Linked DNA regions of Stegostoma tigrinum. The protein of the gene in region 2 interacts with the protein of the main gene of each other region in a biochemical or structural test. Links are inferred from orthologs where the notes say so. Each region holds a gene or a part of one and is shown on either strand. Other genes may lie near its edges.

Region 1 (8,388 bases), on a different chromosome or scaffold from region 2:
GTCACAAGTTGGCCAAAGCCAGAAGGTGAAAGTGCATTGTTGACAAGATTAGAGGAAAACCTAGAATATTCAGATTTCCTATGTGAGATTTAAAGTGTTAACCTAGTCACTTGTAGAAAAGATTTTTTAAAGAGTTAATAATCTAGTTATAGGCTGTGTTCCAGTGTCTTCAGTAATGGGTCCTTTGTACAAGGTGGCACAAGCTATTATTCAACATTCGGGAGACATGCAGCTGGTACCACCATTTTCAATTCTACACACTTGGAGACAAAATCATGTCCTACTTAATGCTTCAGGTAGTATCTAGCCTCGTGCTCTAGGTTTCCCTGTAGGGGGTAAACTACTTGTAACAATTAAGTATTGTACAAGTACAGAAACACAAGTTACAAAACTAAGTCAATTGTGTTGAACAAGGTGGTCAGTCAGTGTAATGGAAACTGAAGTGGTAAGGGGCTCAAGGGACAGATACACAAAAGCTTGATAATGAAGAGGGTGATGTGTAATGAGATTGCTAGGGCCTAGTCAATGCATTAACATCAGGTTTAAGAAAGGAGTTTAGATGTTCAATGAATAGCTAGCACAATGGAAAGAGAAGTGATGAGACAAACAGCTATAGCAATGATCAGTCAAAGTCTGGCAATGTCAGTGTAAATGGGGTGTTGATTCCAATTAATCTTGGAAAAAACCAGGATTAGCGAGGAGCTGGTCCTCTAGTCAGAGGATGAATGCCTTCATAGCTAGTGAAAAGTTAGGATGTTTGCCTCCTTTAGGTGTGTAATGTAGGACAGATAAAGGATATTGTTTACACCTAGTGGTGACTTTCACCACTGAAACTCCTTTAGAGGATAAAGCTCAGCTGACAATTGGACTTCAGCAGTCAGTTTCACTAGTTTGTACTTTTGCTCAAGTACGCAGTCATACTGAGCATAGGATGTGAGGAACAAGTGATTACATCATTAGCATTCACTAAGAGAAAGGGGCATGTAGGAAGAGTCTCTTAAAAGTTGCCATGTCCAGCATGGAAATATGCAATCTTGAAAGCAACAGCATGTCTAAATTGACAAGCTAGACATCTCAAGTCAAGGTTGAGACTCCAGTTAGGAGTGTGTTTAAAAGTGTACTTTTGGCATTTTAAATGCCAAGTCTCAAAAGCAACTTCAACTATCCATGCTAAAAATCTATGGCATGTTCTGGACATGGTCTAATAGCATTTTGATGCTAGAGATCAGCAACGTTAACTTGAGGGAATAAACTTCATCTAATACCCAGCCCTAGTTAGTTGTATTAGAGGGTCTTGACCAGAAAGTCAATTCTTGATGCTTTCTATATAGTTAGAAGTAAACGTCAGTTCTAAGCCTGGAACTTGACTATTTCAACTGCTTACCGCAGGCAGCTTCATCACTTCCATCTGAGCAGTCTTCATCTCCATCACATTTCCATACAGCGGGAATACAGCGACCATTTCGGCACTGGAACTGTGATGCCTCACAAGATACTCGAGAGCCTCCAGGGGAAAGAAGTTGTAGTTTATCTTTAAGCACAAATTTTGCTATTTTAAACTAAAAATTATGGCTAGCTTAACGCTGCGTAACCGTTTCATAGTCAGGTGAAAGTGTACCACTTATCGGCGCTGGGTCTGTATATAGTTATGAACCAACTCGCAAGGTTGCGTTTAGGTCACGTTTCTGCTTAGAAAAGAAAGGTATAGCCAGTAACCTGAAACAAACTCCTGATATTTAGAGGTGAAGAGCTGGTGAACATCAGGCCAAGCAGGAAAGCTTACGTTTCGGGTCTGGTCCCTTCAGAAAGTTTTCCAGATATTTAAATTTACTGAGGGACCTTGCCCCATACTCGAGCAAGGGAGAGTGCCAGAACTCTGAACTGGTAGCTCTTGAGAGAGAGCTGTATTAGTCGGGTTGAGGTTGGTCTTCAAACCATTTGCCGCGAAACCCTGGGCTCGGATATCTGGCCCCCTTTGCTTAGAGCTGGCACGCCAACGTTTCTCCATTATTGGACGTTGGGCACTTCAGGCAAGTCCACTTTGTAACCAGCATCACATAAGTGGGAAAAGAAACAAGCTATCATTTACGTACACACCCGTGTGTAGGTGGATTAAAATTACAGCGCTCCTCCTCACTACAACAACACCAACGTTGCCAATTCAAGGTCATTTAGTCTGCGACTCTAGGAAAGGTCTGCTGCACACTGCCAAGGTTTCAAGAAAGCGTTTAACAGTTCAAACAACCTGTTCCCGTGAACAAAGTCGTTTTGCTGGGGGGTGGGCGCGGAGGAGGAAGACAGACTAAGACAGCTGCTTAATCCGGCAGCTCGCTAGGTACTGAGGCGGATCTGCTGTTCAGGGCATCCGAGATCTGGATCACATTCAGCAAGGAGTGCTGTGACCATGGATGGCGGTGGGCGGGGGTTAATACAGCAAGTTTACTGTGTTACGCATGGGGGGGGCAGGGGCGGTGGAGAAGAATGTCACCTCCTGCTCCACTTGGAGCAGTCCCGAATACGCTACAGGAGTAAACACTCGACTTTTAAAAAAGTCAAGCCAAGGTCAAACAAGAGATAAGCCTAGAATTCAGGGGGAAACAGCCAGAGTGTAAACACTATGGAAGTGGCTGATGGTACCGTTTCAAGTTAAAAAATTTTTCGCAAGTTGACATGACTCCAGTTCAGTCCAGGTACAAATGAAGCCAGACTGACCAGCCATTTGATACTTGACACAGTACTCCATCCAATGATGGCTCCGCCGATTTGTGGTTTAAGTTATGTCAACTAACGAAAGTTTAGCTGCGATCGGTTTGAGAGTTTAACCCATTTGGTGTATGTAACTCTAACCGAGGCTTGCATCACATTCACCAAGTTCTGAGCTAGACGCTTCAAGGTCTGTGTGTAAAACCCAGTAGGTTGTCTTAAGCACGAGTCTATATAGGCTTACTTTTAAAGTAAAAAGTTAGCTGGTGGGACCTACTAATATTTATTCCTCCACACCCCCCCCCCCCCATTTGGAATGGACTGAATAAGGTATCCTAGAAATACAGGAGCTTTAATACAATTATTCGCTCCTCCCTTGGGTCCATGGTAATGCTTTTACGAAAAAAAGATTTCCAGTCAAGGATCACATTCTTGAATGTTACTGTTGCCCTTTTAATATACTGTTCCATTTTAGGTATATGTAGGTCTGACTATTCCCAAGGCATTTCCTAGTCGACAGTGTGGCTTTTCAATTATTAGTCAACTAAGCGAGCGAGTGGCACAGGGAGCGTACACAAGCCCGCGAAGGAGGGAGGTTGTGACAATAAAGGGCTCCACTTAAAAATTGTATCCCGCCACGATTCAGATAAAAACCCAACATTACAGCTCCACGACTGAAAAGGAGCAAATAAAACCAGCTCAGCTGGAGGTCACTTTTTTCCCCTGAAAAAAAACCTGTGTCTTCTCCCACCCGCCCCTGTCTCTGGATCTTGCCCTGCCACCTGCTTCTTTACCCCAGCCACTGGCTCAGTGTTAAGATAATGGAGTCACAGTACTTACCATGTATAGATCGGCACTGATACACACACACTGCAAGCAGCAGTGGCAAAACCGCACGGAGAGGGATCATTTCAGCGTTCCACTGTCAGCGCCAAGCTGCTGCTTGGTCCCCCAATATTAACGGGTAGAAGAACCAGGGTATTTTTTTTCCCTTTAAATCCCTCCAGCGAACTAAGGAAAGACGGACACGCCAGAATGACGCACAGACGTGCTTTTAAATGCGTTCCCTCTGCTCTCTGGAACAACTGGTTGGTGGCTGTGTGCCTCCTAACGCAATTACCTTGTTAAATAACTGCATGGTAAATCCATATCTGTCGGTAGAGCTGCTCGCTGATGGGACGGTAAATGGTTGATTTACTGAATGTACGCCTTCCCATTATTGGTGAATGAGTTCTCACTACTGACTGTAACAGAATGGGTTCTCGCAATAAAAGACTTCTGTTGATTAGAAAATATCTCACAAAAGTGTGTGTGTTGTTCTTTTTTATTGCCCCTTTCTGTGTTCTGATTTGCCAGAGCAGGAAGATGGGCCCTGTTATCACACCAAGAGGTAAAAGTTCAAAGGTCGGGATGTTTATTTATAGTCACATTTTTCTATGAAAATCAAGGGGAGTTGGGTAGAGTCATAGTGATGTTGTACAGCACGAAAACCGACCGTTCGGTCCCACTCGTCCATGCCGACCAGCCAGCCTAAATTCAACTTCGAAATAAGTGCCCGAGAGGTTTTCATAGGATTGCAAAATTGATTAGACTAATATTGAAAGACTTTGGTTTTAAGTCTTAATAAACTCAGACAAGCCCTCCTGAAAGCTACTGACGCTGGACTTTCAGATAAATTTTATACAAAGAGGTCAAGTCCCAACAATTAACGGGATTTTGCACAAAACATTGACGATGGGTGGAAAAAATCAGGGATTCATATATTTTTGCCGTTTTCAGTCGTTTCCGTAATACTGGTATTTTATTCAAGAAACATTCAAGTTTATTCAACTTTAATTGTTGGACAAATCCAGTTTGGCAAAAGTGCCTCCTGTGTTCTAAGGATTGTTTACCTTCTGGAGTAGGTCCTTGTTTTACCAGAATCTGGGTGTCAGTATTCGAGAAAACACCTCCAAAGTATGAATTGCTGAATTGTAGTCCGATTAGACCAAATAACCAGGTTACAAACATAGAGTATGTGATAATTATGTCATAAAAAAGTAGAGAAATTCAGCATTTAACAGTGAAATGACAAGATATGAGAAGAGCCAATATTGAATTAAACATGTTAGAATTACAAACCTGTGCACTGTTCCTATATAACAAGTGATAAAGGACATGTAAAGTTAATCGCTTAAGTGAGGACTTGAGCCCTGTAGGGGATGGTGCTGTATTGACACCACATCTAAAGGACAAAAATAGAAATTTGCTGGAAAAGCTCAGCAGGTCTGGCAGCAACTGTGGACAGAAATCAGAGTTAATGCTTCAGGACCAGTGACCCTTTCTCAGATCAGTTCTGTGTTCTGAGAAAGGGTTACCAGATGTGAAGCATTAACTCTAATTTTTCTCCACAGATGCTGCCACACCTGTAGAATTTATGCTTAATTTCTATTTTTATCCAATAAATTACATGCCCTTTGGAACCTCAGTAAATGCTCTTTAATCCCAAATGTCAAAACGGATCCATATTCCAGTTCCTCATGGTCCTTAAGTATTTCAAATCTATCTACATTCTATTGATTTGGGTGGCTTGTGTGAGTATGTGTGTAGCCAGGGTATCACATTCGCACAGAATATTTGACAACTCTAGCCAATAGAGATCTACATTTTTCCTTCACAGATGCTGCCAGACCTGCTGAGCTTTTCCAGCAACTTTGCTTTTGTTCCAGAGATCTACATGTCATTTAACTTCTTGACTGTTTGCTGTACATGCATGCTAACTTTCTGTATTTCTTGTGCAGCCAGGCCTCTCTGAACATAAAGATTTACTCTTTTTCTATCCTCACTATTATCCTTTCTATCTTACTAATCAAGAGATTTACCGGGATGTTGCTGGGAATGGAGGGTTTTAGTTATAAGCAGAGGTGGAATAGGCTGGGACTTATTTCACTGGAATGCAGGAGATTGAGAGATGACCTTATAGAGGTTTATAAAATAATGAGGGTCATAGATAAGGTGAGTGGCAGGTGTATTTTCCTTGGGGTGGGGGATTTCAGGACCGGGGCATATTTTTAAGCTGAGAGAAGAAAGATTTTAAAAAGACATGAGGGGCAATTCACATAGAGAGTGGTTCGTGTGCACAATGAACTTCCAAAGAAAGTGGTGGATGTGAGTACAGTTACAATATTTAAAACACATTTGGGTAAGTACGTGAATAAGAAAGATTTGGAGGGATATGGCCAAGTACAGGCAGGTGGGACTAATTTAGTTTGGGATTATGGTTGACACAGATTGGACCAAAGGGTCTGTTTCTGTGTTGTATGACTCCGTGACTATAAAAATAACTACTAACCTCACACTTCCCTATAATGTAATCTATCTGCCATTTGTTGCCTGCTCAATTAACTTCTTCATATCTCTTTGCAGCCGCTTTGTGTTCTTCTCACAGCTTACGTTTCCACATGAGGTTGGTTAGCTTAGTTTGCCAAGATGACTGGTTTCTGTTGCAGAATGATGCCAAACAGTGTGAGTTCAATTCCTATGCCAGCTGAAGTCACCATGACAGATTCTCCTCCTCAACCTCTCCCTTTATCAGCAGTGTGGTGACCCTCATGTTAAACGACCACTGGTTGCCTGTCTCATGAGAAAGCAGCCCCATGGTCCAGGGCTACTATGGTAACTTTATCTTTATTTCCACTTGACTTTGTATCTTCAACAAACTTGGGTACATCTGGCTTTTTAATTAATAATTTTATGTTGATTGTAAATAGCTGACACCCCACTTCTTATAACTGCGGCACTCCAGTATGCCAGCATGAAAATGCTTTGTTGGTCCTGATCTTTTCTGTTGCCCATTAATCAATCCTCCATCCAACTTAAAATATTACTCCAAACACCATGAGCAATAATCTGGTGCATTCACATTTTGTGCAGCATCTGCTGAGGATTTCACAGTGAATCTCCAAAGGATTGAATCTTATTAATAACTTTCAATGTGAAACATTGTCAAATAGCTTTGGTTATATGGGTATATTTAGCTGTTTGGAGTTGGAGAACTTGAGTATATCGGCGTTGCTGAAAATAAAATGAGGCTCCCAGTACATGCATTTACACCACGTGCCATGTCTGACTGATGATCCTAAATTGGTTGTCAGTGGTCAGTGTCATTCTTTGCATACTCATAGTTATCCAGCAAATGTTGTTCGGTTGCAGAATCACAGAATCCCTACAGTGCAGAAAAAACCATTCAGTCCATCAAATCTGTATCTACCCTCCAAAAGTATCTTACCTACACCCAACCCTTGACCCTGTTCCTATAACCTTGCATTTACCATGTTAAATCCACCTAACCCACTCATCCCTGGGCACTATGAACAATTTAGCATGGCCAATCCACCTAATCTGCACACCTTTGGACTGTGGGAGGAAACCGGAGCACCCGGTGGAAACCCACGCAGACACAGGGAGGACATATGAACTCCATACTGATCGTCACCCAAAGCTAGAATCAAGCCCTGGTCCTTGTGAGACAGCAGTGCTAACCACAGTTGGCCATTCTGTTGTGAGTTTTGCAAGCACAGGCTGGTAGAATAGAGTTTGTATTTTACATGTTCTGTCAGTTGAAGAAATGCGCTGTTTGACATGAGTGTGGCCTACCGGGCATCACACTGTCACTGAAATTCATATATCACATGACTCATCTTTAGGAAAGGCATAACTTTTTATGGCTTGATAGCAACAGCTGTATTGGAAAACACAACTGATGTTGTTACTTCGTAGCAGCAGGATGAAACAGCACTTGAAATCATGTTCTTTGTGGATAGAAAAATCATGCATATGCTCTGCGACTCTCTCAATGTAACAAATTAAGTAAGAGGCAATCACTGGTTCATTTCCCAATTTAATGTCATGACCAATCAGCCGACTTTCTTGGTTTAAAACCTAAACAAAGATTAAAAACTGGTGCATTTTCCATGGTAAAGCCTGGACTACTCAAATTCCATCAGCACACTCATACAATATAAATGTTAATTTTCCACTTAAATTGGTATTCTTGCAAGTTGCCCTGATGAGTATTTCAAAAAAGCTTCAGTCAATGTATTTTCTCGGCAATATCGATATCATTTGAAAAGAATTAATTCATGAGATATGGATCATATATCCAGAGGGCAGTGAACGGTCGCCCACGTTGCAGTTGGTCTGTAAACATCTGTAGGCCACACTGGGAAAAGATGGAAGATTTCCTTCCCTAAAGGACATAAGAGAACCAATGGGTTTTTTTTTGACAAAAATCTAGAGTGGTTACATGTCCATCACCTTTCGTAAATTCCAGAATTTTATTACGTTCAAACATCACCATTGGGAGATTCAAACTCACAGCTTTAGAACATTAGTCTGGGTTTACAGGATTACAAATCCCTGTCATCACCATGACACTGGCCTGTAATTATGACATATGCCTCACCATCACTTATTTGGGACGTGACTTTCTCAAAAAATGAGGTCAGCTGGGCAGGATATTTACCCTCTGAATCTGAATTACCTGCTATTTATTAGGCTATAATTGTAGAAATGATTAACCATTACTCCCACAGGACCATTCCTGGGCACATTTGTTTTAAATCCTTTTAATCTGTCAAGGACTTTTATCTCTCAATTTCCAAACAAATTAATTGATTTTGTTTTGGTATCTCCCCCTGTGAGGGA
Region 2 (9,423 bases):
GAGCTCCTAGATACTTATAAACTGTTACTAGTAGATTGTCAATAGCCTTGACATAGTGGCTAGGAATATATTTTTCCTTTAAAAACTTACCCCCACCACAAGATAAAACATATGCATATTATTCTCTTTACGCAAAACAACTCAGATCAAAAACTTGACACAGCACAAACTTAAATATAAACTCCACAGCGTTGAATGTTAAAGTTAAAACAAGCTGGTGGAGATGGTCATGATTTTGGTTTCAAAAAATGATGAAAAACAGACTATTTGATTTAGTTTGAGAGATGGATACGGCACAAAACAGAAAAATTGCGATTTTCAAAGAGCATTCAGAAAGCACAATAGCATGAGTGCATAAATGGACTACCTTGCTCTCCCTATTGTTTCCCCAGCTAGTTAATTCTCTATTTTAGCCAGGTAGAGGAAGATACTAATTGGAGAGAATCTGCTTCTGGGGGGGGAAGATCTGGAAACACAATCAGGAAATTCAACTTGTATTCATATCCAACTCAAGAACTATTTGTGGAGATGTGAGAACAGGTGATGGTTTAAGGTTTTTGGTTGAAGGATTCCATGTACACACAACTTTGTCCCACAACTCTTGGGTAAAATATCTGAGTTACAACATGGCGAGAATTTACTGCAGACCTAGTGAGGGGTAAACAAGTGCAGGGAACTCCCTTTCACATTATCTGTTGAGTTACAGAAGAAAATACCTGATAAATCAAATTTGCTTTACTATTTCCATGGTTTAAGTTACTGTTACAAAAGTTCCAAGGCAGAAACAGTTTAATAATTAACTTGGCTCCAAAATCATTCAGTACAGCAGAGACAAATATAGGCAGCTACGTGTTAAATCTATTCATTGAGATCCAGTCTTATTGGTGCATTCCCAGCATAAACAGGAATCAGCATTCCTGTTAGCTATTTCTGAAAGTTTAGGTCTTTTAACACCTATTTGAATCTCAAGCTATATTTTTCCCTTATAATTGCCCATTGGACTGTTTTTTGTATTTAAATTCTGAATTGCAGCGCCAAACGTCTGTCACGGCTTAATGTTGGGAAAGATGGAGTTTCTTTGCCTGTATCAATATTGTGAAATAATCAGAAGATAAAATAACCAAAAAGGTACAACACTTTAGGCTTCATTATAAATGTTCACAAAACCACTCTCTCATAGCTTTATGACAGTACACATCCTGGAAGCTAAATAAGTGAATCCAGATTCAGGTTTATAATAAGAATGACATTCACTAATTAGCTGTTGATTGGGTGATTTGTAAATAATAGTTAATGAGTTAAATGCCCTTTCCCCCCCAATTACACTCATCAGAACAGAATGATAAGATAGTATCTATCCCCAAAAAAGACAGCTCAATACCTTCTCCTTCAAGGTGAAGATTGTACAATCATAGTGTTCTCTATAGTTGTTTATTTGGTCTGTTTAGTACTTGCTCTGAAACAACAACTGAATATGAAATTAAATATGCTTGCATGTTTTAAAATGAAATATTACCTTGCAGAAAAAGTGCTGTATATTATCTTACAGCTGTTTTCTGCTAATTAGTCCCAATGGATGAACAATTGCCAATACTGCACTGAACTGGTTAAATATCTTGCTTGACTACAAATACACTCTTTGATTCCATTGTATTAGAGTAGCCAGTCTGGAATGAAAGAAAGGTTTTTTCACAGATTTTGTTAAATCTTAAAGCTTTCTACTTCTAATAAAATTATTTCAAAGTATTCAACATTACTGTTTGGAGTACTGTTATTTAGTTTTCCCTCTGGAGACTGTCCGAACCTTCTGCGTTGATACAAGAGTGACATTTTTGCTTCCTACTGCTCAAGTCAAGCTGTTTTTCTCCATGTTAATTCAACCCTATGCACAGCTGACCTGAACTCTCACTTTTGTCTTACAGGGAGCAATCAGCTATAGATCACACATGTACAGTGGAGACACTGTGCAGGGCATCCTGCTATCTTCGACCTGACTGCGGACACAGTCTGCACGCTAGAAATGATCCACAAGTATGCTATGTGCTCTTACATTAAAAATCTATTGACTTTATTTTAAAATGTAGATTGGTCAGGGACTGACAGCTGTCCCAGCAAAAGATTTTTTTTACACTTGAGTTGAGCCCACACACAAAGCCTACTCAAACCTGCCAGCTTAGTTTAATACATCCAATCCCCACAATAGAATCTTTGAAGGACAGAGATTTAGGAACAGAAAGGGAATGGTTCACAACAAAGAAAAAACCCCAAAGGATTAATTTGTCTTCATAATTCATATCAGCAAAAGTGTGAATGGTCAAGTCAGTCACATTAATATGATTTCATTTTAACCTTGCTCATTTAAGGTAAACTATTTAAAATATTAAACACTCTACCAGCTCTCAAAACAAAGAACTGCTTCTTTCAAATATGCAGGCATAAACCAGGGGCATGCCAATTTTATACTAAAATATGCATTTCACAAGTCAAATCATGTGAAAGAAACACATTTGATTCATCCAGAAACTGTTACACTTTTTTTTGTTAAACTGGCCACTAAAACCTGTAAGCAACATCCATTCAAGTAAAAGTGACCTACCATGATATTCTTGACCAGGCACATAATATTCTGGATTTCCCACAATGTGAAGTGACATCAACACCTCTCCCTGCTCTCCATCACCCTCCAGTTCTCCGTGGTGGGTACAAAGGAAAAAAAATGGGGCAAACCTTGGGTAAAACCCCACAGATCCACATACAAAATCTGTCAAGAATATTCCAACCAGAGAGAATAAAGTCCAATATTTAAAGCATCGTTCTTTAGCCATTTCTCTGTCCTCTTCAGATTCCGTTCTGCTGGAAACCGATTGTTGAGAATGAGTTTTTTTGCTGTATTAAAGAGATTACAAGTTTAATGTCAGGGAGCTTCTGTTGGGAAAGTCATAAGCCAGGAACTGCCAGCTGTCAGCTGTTTCTACTGCATTCTAATACATCAGCTTCATAAGCTGCAATACAGCTTTCGAGTACGTCTTCTTCAGAGCATATTGTATTCCACTTTCCAGCCCCCTCCCACGTGCCTCAAGGCGCGTCTTTGTTTTGTTAACTTTTTTTAGGAAGGCAAACGCTTTCCCTTCAGTCAGAACACGGACTAAAACCGGGAGGTGATCAGGCATAAAATGCAGCGACTGGAAATAATTTATTTCCCCTGCTGCTTTTACTGGAGTGCTGAAAAACTCCACCTTCTCAGAGTAACATCAGACAGAAAAAGCCATTCCTCACTCATTCTCCGAGTGTCCAAAAGGGAAGTCTCGTATTTATGCCTTATCACTAAATAGACAAATCGAAAAATCTGAACAGCAAATACCAAGCACTGCAAGTCCGATGACATACACTGAAATATCATTTAAATACTGTTTCAGATATAAACCACTCACCACAGCAGACCTTTGATTTTTCTGTAAAAGGTCAGTAGTGTGCTTGATGCACAATTGCATAAAAACCCTTGAAAAATCTAGGTTTACCCGCAATAGATATTGGGAGTTTTTTTTAAAAAGCCATTTTTAAAAGATTAAATACTAAACTGCCAAAATAATTATATAATGTGGCAAACATGTCTCGAGGCCATTATAACAGCAATACAATTATATAATATCGTGATATTTAAAGTTGTTTTTATTGCCTAAGTGATCACCTCAAATGAAAGTTCCATATCAACACCAATTCAGAATTCGGAAAACAACCAATATACAATAGAAAAGGAATTATTTGATCAAAATATTTTGAACGGTAACATAAAACAGTAAAGCTACATAAAAACCGATTTAAGTGGGCCACAAGATCTGTGGAAGCTTGAATTAAATCACTTAACAACTGCAGAGACTCTAATTAAACACTGGATTCACCTCTTCTCTAAACTCAGTCCTGATAAAATTAAATAATTTATCTACTGATTTAAAGTTTGAGTTCTGGTAATTAGTGAGCTCAAAACAGCAGTCTAGATGTTTACAAATGGATTTTAAATTCAGCTGCTCTGATACATTCCATAGCAGAGGGCAAGAGAGTCAATGTTACGATAATTATTAATGCCATGTCAACAGAACTTTAACCTTACAGGAAAAAAAGGTTTACACAAGTACCAGTGTACATTTCATAGTCAACTGTGCAGCATTGTTAAATTACTCCTAACAGTTACGTTAAAAGATGATTTCTAATAGCTTGTATGTTAATTTCTGCCTAGATGGATACCTCCAATATACCAGGTAGTCAATTTTGTATGAGCTATATTTTAAAGAGACATTTGGACACTTTAAAAATATTCACAATCTTACTATTTGTAATATAAACTAACAAGAAAAAAAAAAGCAGTGATAATGGGAACTGCATGCAGATGCTGGAGAATCCAAGATAACAAAGTGTGGAGCTGGATGAACACAACAGGCCAAGCAGCATTTCAGGAGCACAAAAGCTGACATTTCGGGCCTAGACCCTTCATCAGAAAAGAAAAGTTTTTTGCTTATCTGCTTTCTTCATTCAACTAATTCAAAGGTCTTTTAACTGTTTAATTGGCCTGACATCATTCACTTTGCATTCTGAAGGTTCTGCATAAGGCTCAACACCAAATTAATTTTTCTATTCATGAAATTATCCAACTGATGCTACAGAGTTAATTGACATTTAATCAGTGCAGGTTCAATTGTTCAAGCATTTCTATTAACTGATGTAAAGTGCAGTAAGACCCAGTTCTATTTCACTTTGGAAACCGATCGGAAATAAGATTCATTGAAAGACATACAGTAAAAAGGAAAAAAATTGCAGTGGGCAATTTGTTCAATTATCTGATGAATGGGAGTTATTTGTTTCTATTCAAGTGTTTTTAATTTTCAAAACAGAATTGAAAGCTCTTTGGCTATATTTCCTAATTGTGTGGAAGTTAAGAAAAATGTTACTAAACTACTATAAAACATCTATTTATAACAGTTTAGCTTTAACTGGGGAGAAAAGCAACTACTTGATATTTGATAACTACACTCGAGGTCGGTTTGGAGAGATCAACTAATTTGTTTCTTACAACTGTCTTTACATGAGTATTCATCACGGAGGACAATTGATGATATAATGATGGTGCGTTTGCAGAAGTAATCCGGCAAGCAAAGATTAGGCATAAGCAACTTGCTAGGGCATGAAATGCGTAGGTATGAACTATAGTTGAAGAGTAGATAGTAATTGAGCAGTTCTAGAAATTGAAAAACTACGATTAAATGCCAATATTTACCTATGCTACTTTTTAGCATCACTACAACAATCCTGCTCTCTACTTCGGATCACCAACTTCAGCAGTGGATGTTTCACATCCTGACATATAATCCTTCCAACTTCCCATGCCCAAATGTTATCCAGGCAAGCTTATTTCTAAAAGGCAATCATAAGGCTGGGTGAATTTTCAAACTTTACCTTTGTCTGCTTTAATATTTTGCCTTGCTCCGTCACCAGCACACTGAATGGTTTTAATAGAGTCACAATTTTGTAAACACAAACTACAAAACTGTGAGGAAACGGAGGTAATGGTTAAGAAAAGCAATGCAAAAGAAAACCCAGCATCTCAGCTTACATCGAAAAATCAATAACACTTGAGGAATAATAGCTCACAACTTGTGTTTTCTGAAACTCATTTAACATGCAACCTTGTTAAATTAGACTGTTTCTCATTGCCAGTATGAATTTCTGTCTATTATTATTAATAAACCAAACATTGCCAGAATCAAAACAAAGTTGGGAACGGCATTTACGTCTTCAATAAACACTGCTCAAACAATAATATTTTCTGGCTGTGAATTAGTAGCAGGACATGTGTAAAAGATTTATAAAATTAAGTTTAGAAGCCACATTCAGTTCAGCACTGAGAAGTGCTATGGCTCATAAGCATGGGAATCTGCACGTTTTGGAGAAAGAAAATGTAGTTCATTTAAACAAAGCTTCATCCTTCCTCCCATGGGACAATATTGACAACAAGGCTTCATTAACTCTTACATGACTTGAAACTATAGTCCCAGAGCTGAGCATTTTTGACATGTTGAAAAATGATCAAGTACCAAAGCATACATATATTTCTCATTTTAATTCAATTATATGAATGTGCCATTTCTGGTGTTTAAGTGCCCACAATATGCTGTAAATTATGAAAATATCTTATTGGATTATAATTTGGATTTGACATGTTTAAAAATATTCTTCTTACACTGATAATATATTTAATATTTGCATTCAGTTGGCATATGGAATTTTTAATACGAACAAAGACAAGAATGCATAATCTCCAATTTTTTTTAAACAACTATTTCATTTCAAACCTTGTGCTGGGCAACTAAGCATTTAAACAGGTTAGACATATATTACAGCACCTACCCTTTCACTTTGGCATATTTATTTGTGATTAAGAACCCTGACATCTTAATGTGCAATATTTCAGCATTGAACAAATTTTTGTATGACAAGTAAAAATAGATCAAGTAAATAGGCTACATTAGATTAGTAATCAAGAACGGTAGTACAGAGTTTACTGTATCCTGCATAGATCTGCATTCATATATAGCTGGTAACCAAAGAGTGACATCATATGCGTTAGCTCTTTAGTAGCACAAATTGGCTTACAGAATGTGTGAATGCTGAGTATTCTATGTGCTACATTTACAAAATATTTGCAGGATTTATTACGTCAAAAATATAGACCAAGGGGGTTTTACTCAGTTTCCACCCCCTCACTGTACTACAGCTAAAAGGCTTTAGATGGTGACCCTGCTCCTTTACTGAATATAACCTATGCTTTAGTGCATCCCTTAGCTCGAAGTGCAGAACCATGGAATTCAAAACTTGGAACTAAATATTCAATTTCAGTCAACTCTTTGCACCAGCAAGTTTCAGGCAGCCTAAAGAGAAACTTTCACCAGATTGATGGTTCTCCAGCAGCTGTGGGATGCTATTCTCTGCAAACAGCCCATACAGCCAACGAACCTCGATGCAAAACACTGAATCTCTTTCCAGAGGTCACAATAGGCTAGGCCAAATAAGGATGTCATTTCCTTCCTTTAAGGACATCAGGAAATTAGTTGTGTTTCTACGATAATCTGACAGTTCCAAGGTCACACTTACTAATGCCACTTTATATTTTCAGATTTATTTACTGATTAACATTTATTCCAAAGACATTAAGAATAATTTGTCCAATAATATCCACAATGATGATGCATTCAAAAGTTAATAAATCAGCAAGCTTTATTTTTAAGAATATACCAAAATTTAAATTACTAAAATACATCTTCACTTAATACACTGTGTTGAGCACTAGCACACCATGTATGTACCAAGACCAGTTCAAATATCAGTAGCTCGGGTTGTACAGAAAACCAAGCTTAAGTTCCAAAGGACATGTCACTCACTCAATTAAATCAGTAACTTTTCCTCTGTACATTACGCATTCTTACAACATGCATTTGTTAGTAGATTTTCATAGGCTATAAAACCGGCAATCTCAATTTAAAAGCATCACTGAACTATGCAGACAAATCTTTAGGGTTTAAGCTATTCGCAAATGAATGCTCTGATCAGATCACATTAATTATGCAAAGGAAACCTCCAAATCCTAGAATGTGGTACACAAAAAGACTCAGATGACCATTGTGTAAGAACCTATGAGGTTTTATTTTGAGTTACTGTGAATGAGAACACACAGTCTTTGACCTGCTCTTGCAGTCACAGAATAGCTAAACCTGCTAAATTTCTAATCAAGTTATTTTAGAATGTTAATGGAAGTGGATTCAGTGATTTCAATGCCAGTGAAAATCAAGGCAAAAGATAATTAGATTTCCTTTTCTTGGAAGACAGCATTATTTGAAATGTGAGATGTGAACGTTACATTCCATATACCTGCCAAGACTCAATGTTGTCTAAATCTTGCTGCATGGCACTGACTCCTTCAGCACCCAAGGTAAGTGGAACTGAACAGTTTGTCAATCATCAGCTAACATCCCAATTTCTAACATTATGTTGGAGGGAATGTAATTGATAAAGCAATTTAAAATGTCCGAATCCTTTTCAGAACTCCTAAAACAATATCCCAGGACTGAGATGATTGGTTGCAGTTGGAAACCATTTTCCTTTGTGAGGGGTATGACGGCACCTGTTGCAGAGCTTGCTTTCTGATTCACGTTGACTTCAATTTCACTTGGACTCCTTAATGCCACAATCGATCAAACCTGCCTGGATGTCAAGAACTCTCACTTCTGGAATTCAGGACTTTTGGTTCCAGGTTATGATGAAGTCTGCAGCATGAGGGGCTCTGGAGGATCCAAACTTTGTAGACTACAGGTATTAGCAGCACTGTAAAAGACACTTTGCTGATAACGAAGGGTAGACTGATAGGATAAAAAGCAACTAAATTAGATTGTCCTGCTTTCTGTGGACAAGATATACCAAAGTGGCTTTCACATTACCAGGTCAATGTCAGTGTTGTGCTTGTGTTGGAACAGTTTGGTGAGCGGTGGAGATAGTCCTGGAGCACAAATCTTCAAAATTTCAGCCCAATGTTGACAGGGCCCATAGACCTTGCGATATTGATAACATGTATTTAAATTAACAAGACACAGACGTGAATCAGCTTCACCAGCTCCAAAAGATGAAAGGTACTCTACTTTGACATTTCTCTTCAACAGTTTAACAACACTAACAGCAATATAACACAATTACTGCACTACATTTATTTATTTTTGTCCACTAAAAAATAGAAAATTTTTTGCAAAATTAATAAGGGCCACAAAACATTACAGCAGATAAGTTTTTTAAAAATGAAAGGCTGGTCACACAAATGGCTGCTACACTACATTCCGAGAAAAGGATGCTTCACAAAGGAAAATAATTGAAAGTAAATACATTTCAGGTGTCTTTTGTGCTAATATATTGTTATTGCATTGGAACAGATTGCCCTGAATTCCTGCTGCTCATAATTAACACTTAGCTCTGAAATACTGAAGATTGCTGGTAAATAGTTCATTTTAAAGATCCATTCTGACCAATCAAGATATTGCTATCAGATTCCATACTGTGCTAACACCTGCTTGGACAAATCGAATGCTGCCAAAATGCCTGTCATTTCTCAGCAGAGTGGAGAAATCAGAATGAATTGGAGCTAAAGAAGTGATCATTGCTTGCAGTATCAAATGGTTGTGCTGGGTCTCACAAGAAATCATACAAGTATCTCACTATATCAAAATTCACAGTCCTAGAAGAAAAGAAGAAACAATAGGTTGTTAATTACCTCAGTGGGTTTGACAAATTAATATTATACAGTGAATTTAGGTCTTACTCAGATTAAAAATTCATCTCGTGCATGATATAAACCAAGCTGTTGTCACTTGCTCCAGTTATACTGCAACT

Evidence for each region.
Region 1: the proteins of reln (region 2) and vldlr form a complex in vitro, tested with the Homo sapiens proteins (6 studies listed by BioGRID). The link is inferred for Stegostoma tigrinum from reciprocal best matches to the Homo sapiens genes RELN and VLDLR.

The regions. Positions count from the first base shown.
Region 1 is NC_081356.1:4,785,034-4,793,421, reverse strand, and holds the start of vldlr (very low-density lipoprotein receptor), read right to left. Parts: upstream 4,041-8,388; 5' UTR 3,614-4,040; coding exon 3,544-3,613; intron 1,505-3,543; coding exon 1,385-1,504; intron 1-1,384. UniProt on the Homo sapiens protein: Multifunctional cell surface receptor that binds VLDL and transports it into cells by endocytosis and therefore plays an important role in energy metabolism.
Region 2 is NC_081378.1:23,253,744-23,263,166, reverse strand, and holds the start of reln (reelin), read right to left. Parts: upstream 3,449-9,423; 5' UTR 3,432-3,448; intron 2,887-3,431; 5' UTR 2,826-2,886; coding exon 2,597-2,825; intron 1-2,596. Other genes in the region: orc5 (origin recognition complex subunit 5), read right to left, coding at 9,223-9,268. UniProt on the Homo sapiens protein: Extracellular matrix serine protease secreted by pioneer neurons that plays a role in layering of neurons in the cerebral cortex and cerebellum by coordinating cell positioning during neurodevelopment.